Oryctolagus cuniculus: one gene and its partner. The main gene of each other region encodes a partner of the protein of the gene in region 2 in a complex. Links are inferred from orthologs where the notes say so. Each region holds a gene or a part of one and is shown on either strand. Other genes may lie near its edges.

Region 1 (3,640 bases), on a different chromosome or scaffold from region 2:
TTAATTAGGGGAGGGAGGTCCACCAGAATCAGGAGAGAAGACAGCGCGCGTGGGAGCAGAGGAGCCAGAGCAGGCACGAGGCCTGGCCAGGCAGCGCTGCAGGACTCACCTCTACCTTGAGCGCGGGCACTGCTCTGACAGACAAGGCCAAAGGGTGGCCCCTCGCAGCTGGGAGGCCACCGGTGGCCACTGCAGCCAAAGGTGCCTGGCTGTTGGGCTGCAGCTTCTAGCTATGGCTGGTGGTCACCCATTCAGCCCTTGTCCCCAGCCAGTGCTGGCTGGCCATCCTTAGGCAGAGCTTAGGAAGCTGGCAGAGGGTCCCCACCACTTCTGCTTGGCCCAAGGAGGCTCAGGAGTTAGAGGGCCAGGGAGAGGAACTGGAGTTGAAACCTTCCTTGCTCCCCGCCTGGGGTGGCACTGGGAGGAAGAACGGTCGCCTTCGGCTCCAGGCCCGCCCAGACCCACGGCGACCAATAAGGTACAATCACTGGGACCAGTCACGGCCACTGGAGGTGGAGGTTGTTTTTTTAAAAAAAAAAAAAAAAAAAAAGACAAAAAGGTTACAGTCTCCTACAAGCACAGAGTTTAAATTTCAAGACGTTAAAAAAAAAACCTGTCCCGGCCCAGGGGACTGAGCATCAGAAGCCAGCCTGACCAGGCACGTGTGGCCTTGGGGCACGTCCAGTGCTGCTTTCTTGCCCAGCTAGCAAGCACACATACCACCCCCTCCCGCACCTAATGCCTGCCCCAGCTCCCCGCAGTTGCCGCCGCCGCCGCCGCCACCGCCGCTCTGGGGAGTGAGTCCAGGACGCCTTCGTAGACACACGCAGAGACACGGGGGAGTCTGAGGGGGAAGGTCGCGAGATCCAGCCCGATGCTTTAAAACTGTCAAGAGAACCAAGAGGCAGTGAATGGTGGTTACCATGGTGTCCTGGCGCACCTGTTGTGGGGCTAGGGGCAGTTCTGAGAGCCGCCACAGGGCTGAGACCAAAGGGTGCGGCTGGGTCCCAGGACACCCTACAGGCCCGCTTTTTGCTAATTCAGCCAGCATTCAGCAGTGACCTGTGGGAACACAGGCCCCAAACCCTGCACCTGACCAGGCAGCGAGACAACAGTGATGAGGCGCCTCCACGGTTTCCTGGGGTTGCACCCTGGAGGCGGCACAAGAGATCTGGCAGCGTCTTGCCTGGTGACCTGAGGCTGCCTTCTCACCTCGGGGCTTCACAGAAAAGTCCCCCGAGGACCCAAGGGAAAAGAGGCCCAAGAGCTGGTACTCTGTCAAGCTGTAGGTCACCCTCCAAGAGCTGGTGCTCTGTCAAGCTGTAGGCCACCCTCCAAGAGCTGGTACTCTGTCCCAAGCTGCGAGCCACCCTCCAACCATGGCAGGCCCTGGAAATAAAGTCTTCTGTCCTCAAGTACCTCTGGATAATACCCATAATAGTCCTGGACATTTTATAGACTGGAGTCTACAATGTGCCCCCGGCTGATCCAGATCCAAGGGAGCACTGTTTGGCACGAGCAGTGTTTACCAGAATATGACGAGCGGCCAACCTCGAACACTGGGGTGCCAGACACAAATGAGGCTCCTGAACTGTTTGGAGGGAGGGCTGCGTGGCTCTCCAGGCGAGGCCCTGTGCATCGAGCGCACACCACACAGGTACTGCCCGCTAGACCCCGCCCTGCCCCGGCCTCCTGACCCGGCCAGATGCTGCGAGGCCATGTGAGCTCTTTGAGGCAGACCTAGCTTCATGTTCTGGCTCCTCCGCTGACTGTTATGGGTCCTTGGGAAGTGACTTCACTCCCAGAGCCCTGGTTCACTCAGCTGCAGAATGGTGGCAACCCTGGGTTCAAAGACTGACTATGAAGTCAGACATGTACACAGGCTTTCTTAGCTACAAAACTCTATGGAAACCGTAGCTGTCGTAAATAACTCAATGTTGAACAAGCAGGCCAACCACTAACTTGGGACAGGAGCCATTCTCCCTCACAGCTGCCTCTCGAGGCCTGCGGGTCCTCTGTGAGCTTGCTCCACACAAGGTGCCTGTCTCCTTCTGTACTCTGCTACCCTGAAAGGCCAACGTTAATGAACAGCCAAGGGAGCTGCAGCCTAGCGGAGAGGTGCAGCGGCCTGCCCAAGTGGGCCGAGGAGCAGATCACACCCAGGTGGTCTGCGGCTGCGCGCTGGCCACCTGCCCCGGGGCCGCGGGAGTAGTTTCCATTTTTAGGAATGAATCCCCGCTGCTGCTGGGCCAGCTCTGCGTGCAGTGATCGGAATAAACACCGAGTTACCATCTAAGGAGCATAGTCAACTCTGAGTGGAACATGTCAACAACCCGAAGACTGTTTAGAAGAAAGAAAAAAAAACAGGAAGGCACATCCCGAACGTCTGAACAAGACCAACGGTGTCCTCAGCTCCTCCGTGCAAACACTGGGGCTGCAGGCCCTTGGGTCAGGAAAGGCGCGGACAACTCCAGCAGGATCTGAACGGCCCAAGTCACGAGAGCGATGAAAACCAGGCCAAGGAAGTCAGACTTTAAGCCTCTGAGAGACGCTGGGAGGAAATATTTAGTCTACAGCGTGACCGACTGTGCAGAGCCCTGGGAAATCCTCGGGGCTGCACTGCTTCGTCTGGGGTGTGACCTAGAACAGGAGAGCACTCTGCAGACACCTGCCGTGTGTGCGTGCCCACGGAGACTGACAGGCACTGCACACACCCCCACCAGCCTCACACGGGTGCCCACCGCGCCCGGCGAACCTGCCACGCACCGCCAATTCTAGAGCTCACCGGGGAACGGGCTGTTGGCAGCACTCTGCCAGCAGGCGCTCACTTCCCCACACCCCCACAGCTCCTTCCCACGTGCCAGGAAACCAGGAAAAGCCCCACAGCTCCTTCCCACGTGCCAGGAAACCAGGAAAAGCCCCACAGCTCCTTCCCACGTGCCAGGAAACCAGGAAAAGCCTACTTACGTTCTTGAGGAACTCCTCCGCCACGATGCGCGCGCGGGCGTTGACCGACAGCTTCATCTCGCTGATCTCCTTGTCGATCTCCTCCATGAAGTGGATCACAAAGTCTACCAACTTGTGCTTGTACATCTGCTCTGTGTGGAAGTTGGTGATCAGGAAACTGATGTCGTATCCCTGGGGAGCAGGACAAGGGAGAGACTGAATGCCGGGCGCCTGGCTGCCCATCCTCGACTTGATCCACAAGCTCTGGACGACAGGGATCTGCTCACAGGCAGCAGCCCGTCAGCTCCGGCGGGTGCCTGTCCTGGATCCAACGACTGAACGCGGCTGACGACACAGCGTCCAGACATCTCCGGAAGGCTCTGTGCGGCACAGACATCTTTGCATTCAGAATGAGTCAGAGGAGAGAGAAGGGGATTGGAAATCTTGTTACAGAAGAAGCCGACAAAACAGAGAACGTGTGCTCCAGAGACAAGACTCAGGAAGAGGATGGGATGGAGGCCTTCTACTACTGGGGAGAAGGGGCATCCAAGAGTATCGAAGAGAGAACCCGGCACAAGGCCAACTCTGTCTCGTGTCCGGGCCAGCACACGCTCAGTCACTGCGGCTATTCTAAGTCGACCTCCCAGGGAGTCGGGAGAGGCTTCCTGCACAGTCAGGCAACAGTGGGCCCAGC
Region 2 (4,156 bases):
ACCCACAGCTCCCATGCGAGGATGGACACACGTCCCTCTTATGGCCACGGAGACGCAAGGGAGATTGTGCCAAGCAGCCTTCCCGCCTGGCTTCCTGCTGCTTGGGCCAGCGCCCTGCCCTGCTTGCCTGCCGGCAACCTGGCCATCGTCGTCCCGTGACCAGGAGGAGGCCGCCCGGCTGCAGCTCAGCCAGCCCTGAAACCTGAGCAAGGGGGCGGGGCGTCTCCACCGCAGCCATCCCGCGGAAGCCGGTTCCAGGAAGCAGCAGCTCTCTCTCCGGTCCCCAGGCTCCGCTAACCTGGGGGAGGGGGGTGCTGAGGGGATGCGGCCCAGGGCTCCCCAGTGTGAGGTCCGTGTCCCGTCCCCAGGCCCCTCGGCCTCACCTTAGGGACGTGGAAATGGGCACGGCTGCAGTGGCAGGACCAGGATCGACTGCCCAGTCGCTCATCCCCGCACACTCCCGCATGCCAGGCGCCAGACACCCTGAGGTCCATGTTCCTAAGTAGGAGGTGGGCTTTTGAGGATGGGCAGCAGAGGAAAAACAAACAGCCCTCAAGCCAGCTTTAAAGCAAAGCAGGTCACCCGGGAAGCGGACCTGAGCCTGGGCTGCGGGCTGGGCTCAGGCTGACCTGTTTTCTGTGGGATTCCCGCAGCCGGGGGCCGGGCTTGGATGGGGTCGTCCCAGGTCCCAGGTCCCAGGTCCCAGGTCCAGGAAGGAGGCGGGGGACAACGTGGGATGAGCAGCCCTTGTTTGAACAAACCTGCGGGAGCAGCGAGCTGGGGGCCCCGGCTAAGGACCCCCGCTCCGCGCCGGGAGCAATGGCCCTCCTGGAAAGCCCGGGCGCCCCCACGCGCTCGGACACGGCGAGTCCTCCCAGCCCCGCGGACGCGTGGAACGCAGCGTGCCCGGGGCTGAGTGGCCCGAGGGGCACGGCCACACCCTGCAGCGCGGAGCCCTGCCGCCCCGCTGACCGGGGGCTGGAGCGGCCCGAGCCGGCGCCGGGGAGCGCGGTCCCCCCGCCCCTGGGCCTCCCCCGCCTTGCCCCGGGAGGGCGGCACCGGCGCCGTCTACACCCGCGAAGGGGCGGCGCCCGCGGCCGGGGACCGAGTCTGTGGGGGTCCTCCTGCCCTGGCAGGTGGGGGCAGTCGCCCCTCGCCCCCAGCCTCAGTTTCCCCTTCCGGAGCTGCGCCGGGCGCGCCGGGCGCCGACGTCCGCCCCTCTACCCCGAGGGCTGGGCGGGCCCTCGCCTCCCGCGACCGCCGTCGCCCCGGGTCCCCGCCCCCGGCCCTGGGGCTCGGCCCCGAGGCCCCGCCCCCCGCCCACGAGGAAGTGGCTGCGGCGCGGCGCGGGGCGCAGAGCCGGCTCGGCGCGTCGACTGCCCAGAGTCCGCGGCCGCGGCGCCCCGAGGTGAGGGGCTCGGGCTGGGGCGGGGGCGCGGGGGCCGCCCGCAGGTGGGGCGCGCGGGGGCGGAGGGGGCCCGGAGGTGCGGGGCGCGGGCGGCGGTGGGCGAGGGGCGCGCTGAGCCGGCTGTGCGCCCCGGGAGCGCTCGGGGGGGGGGGGCTCCGGCCCGCGTGCGCCGCCCCGCCGCGCGCCCCCTCCGGCCCGGCCTCGCCGCCGCCGCGGTGGCCCCGTTACTTGGGGCCGGCGGGCCCCCTGCCCAGTCACTTCCCCCGAGCCTTCCGGGTTGCGGCGGCCGGGAAATGAGCTGGCGCCCACGCCCAGCCGCACCCGCCCCGCCCGCGGGGTCCCAGGCTGCGGGGTCCCAGGCTGCGCCGCTCTGAGCTGCGGGGCGCCCGGAGCCGTGCGGCGCCTCCCTTGCTGGAGGGGCGCACCCGGGGGCAGTGGCCGCGGAAGCCACGGCTCCCGGAAGTCAGGCGCACCCGTGGCTTTTTAAGTCTCAGAGACACTGGGTAAAAATGTCCGCTTTACGGACCGCTGACCTAGGCTTGGCGAGCCTCAACATGCCCCATCTGGAAAATGGGCACCTTACGAGGTCTCATAAGACAGCTGGCGACGGGCCGGGCACAGGCGGACAACAAATGGGTGCTATTGTGGCCGGTGTAAAGCCGGCCCAGGGTGGCCAGTGAGTCTGCCCAGGTGGCCCTGACCTCCTGACCGCTGGGGTTTGGAGCTGGCGCCCTCAGCTGTGCCATTCCCAAGCTGCGGTCTCAGTCTGTTTCCTCCTGTGGCTAAGCAGAGGGAGAACGGGTCGGGCTAGCCCGGGGCTGTGTACCGCTGGCCGGGCTGGGGAGGGCAGTGGGCTTGGTCGTGTGGCCAGGGGTCTGTTCCGAGAGTTGCGCTCCTCGCCCGGTCACATCACAGCGCACCGTGGCCTTGTCCCCCGTGACGCTCAGGGTGACCCCGTGTGCAGAAGGCCGCGCCCGAGTGGGTGCGGGTGAGCGGGGTGCTGCCCGTGTCCAGCGATGCTTTCTGTACAGCCGCGCCAGCACTGGGTGTTCCGTGTGTCTTAGCTCTGGGTGGGTGACGCGCGCTGGTGCGTTACGGTGTCTTGTGACTGTTGTGTGACCGTCCCGTGTCCCTGGACTCTGCCTTCGCTTGTAAGGATTCTAGAGCCGAGGAGGGGAGGAGCCCCCGGGGGGCTGCTGCACGGAGTTGAGCAACCGCCTAGCGCGGAGCGCAGTGGCTCTGAGCACTCCGCTGGGCGGGGACTTCCCGGAGCGCCTGCTTGGTTTGGCCTGGGATGCAGCCTAGAGTCTCTGGGCTGAGCGCAAAGCCAGGCGAGGAGGGGCTGCCCGCGGGGGCCCTGGCCGGCCACCCCTTCCCCCGTCATTTCTGGAGAAGCTCCCCTCGCCGGGGGGGGGGGGGGTTGCCCCACCAGGAATACCCCACCAGCCCCTGCCCTGTGAGCTAAGCTGTGTCCCCCCATTCTGGCACTCCTGGACGGAAGCCCTGGCCCCACCCTGCAGACCCAAGCCCGCCCGCCCCGGCCCCTGCTGCGGAGAGCTCTGGCCTCCCTGCTCCGCCCCCACGCCATCCCTGGGTCCCTTGCTGGGCGTGGGCTGCGTGGGCTGCGCTCCTGGGAGTGCGGGATGGTGAGGCTCTGCGGGAGCCAGTGGGGGAGTGTGTCAGGGACTGGGCCCCTGGCCCTGCCCCCCGCTGGTTGCACTTGGCCTCTGGGGGCTGGGGTGGGCACAGCCTTGAAAGAGCCCCCCCCCTCTAGTTCAGCAGCCAAGGAGGCCATGGTGATGTGTGGCTGGGAGTCCTGGGGGCCACGGCCACCACCAGCCTTTGCCTCCCACGGCGCCACGGCTGAGTGCTGATGCCGTGGGCACAGCCCCAGCTGCATTCTTGCAGTAGGGGGCTGGCAGCGGGCGGGCCTGCCCCACCCGGCCCCTGTGCCGTGTCCTAGGCTTAGGGGACTTCTTGAGAAGGAGTGAGTCGTGGGCAGAGTGGCGGGGCTTGGGGGCTGCTTCCCAGGTCTGTCTGGAGCCCCCGCTCAGCCCTCTGACTCCCACTTCCTCCTTAGTCCAAGCTGCAGCCGGGGCGTCATCGCTGAGCCCCCGCGGGAGCCACCCACATGGGGAAGTGGACCGTTCCTCTCTGCCACCCCCTTGTCTCTGCCCTGCCCATTTAAGGGGTGGGTTCTGTTTCAGTTCCTGCCGCAGTGTGATTGGCACATAGGCTCCCCCTGAACCTCCTGCCCCCACTGAGAACCTGTGTGTGCCAGGAATTGGGGGACAGTGCTCCCCAAGTCCTCTCGGCTGCATCCCCCACGGGGACCTGCGGCTGTGCTCCGTCCTCACGGCCTGGGGCACACGGCGTGTGTGAGAGCCGAGGCCCTGACACTGGGATCTGCCCCCCGAGTCTGGGCTCCACCAGCCCCCCAGTTCCTGCTTCCTGGGCTGTGGTTGCGGGCTGGGGTGGGATGGGGGAGGGTTAGCCTCCTCCGGGCCCTGGCCGGATGTCACAGTGTTGCAGGTGGGCTTCCGGCCTTGGCCTGCTTCTGCCCGGGGTGGTGACCTTGGCAGTGGGGGTGGGGCGGGCGAGCATGGTCACCCCTCCCCTGTGCCCTGTCCCCTTTGTGAGCAGCCATTGCCCGGCCCAGGGTACCCAGCAGCCTGCTGGGCTGGCCAAGGGTTCTGAGGTGGCGCTTCTGGTGGCTACTTCACAAAGAGACCTTGTGAGGAGACAGGC

What was found.
Region 1: the proteins of ARPC1B (region 2) and ARPC4 are in contact, whole or in part, in a cryo-EM structure (PDB 6YW6), measured with the Homo sapiens proteins. The link is inferred for Oryctolagus cuniculus from reciprocal best matches to the Homo sapiens genes ARPC1B and ARPC4. Residues at the interface, in NP_005711.1 of Homo sapiens: Glu9, Pro10, Asn28, Gln54, Thr72, Arg74, Asn96, Arg97, Ala98, Arg100, Ser143, Thr144, Cys162, Trp204, His206, Leu245, Pro246, His263, Ala319, Gly320, Lys326, Asn327, Ser328, Met350; in NP_005709.1 of Homo sapiens: Gln17, Cys21, Leu22, Glu23, Asn24, Phe25, Ser26, Ser27, Gln28, Val29, Glu31, Arg32, Glu45, Leu46, Leu48, Glu124, Gln125, Tyr127, Lys128, His129.

The regions. Positions count from the first base shown.
Region 1 is NC_091441.1:116,912,292-116,915,931, forward strand, and holds part of ARPC4 (actin-related protein 2/3 complex subunit 4), read right to left. Parts: intron 3,139-3,640; coding exon 2,968-3,138; intron 886-2,967; coding exon 880-885; 3' UTR 1-879. UniProt on the Homo sapiens protein: Actin-binding component of the Arp2/3 complex, a multiprotein complex that mediates actin polymerization upon stimulation by nucleation-promoting factor (NPF).
Region 2 is NC_091450.1:41,604,873-41,609,028, forward strand, and holds the start of ARPC1B (actin-related protein 2/3 complex subunit 1B), read left to right. Parts: upstream 1-1,275; 5' UTR 1,276-1,408; intron 1,409-4,156. UniProt on the Homo sapiens protein: Component of the Arp2/3 complex, a multiprotein complex that mediates actin polymerization upon stimulation by nucleation-promoting factor (NPF).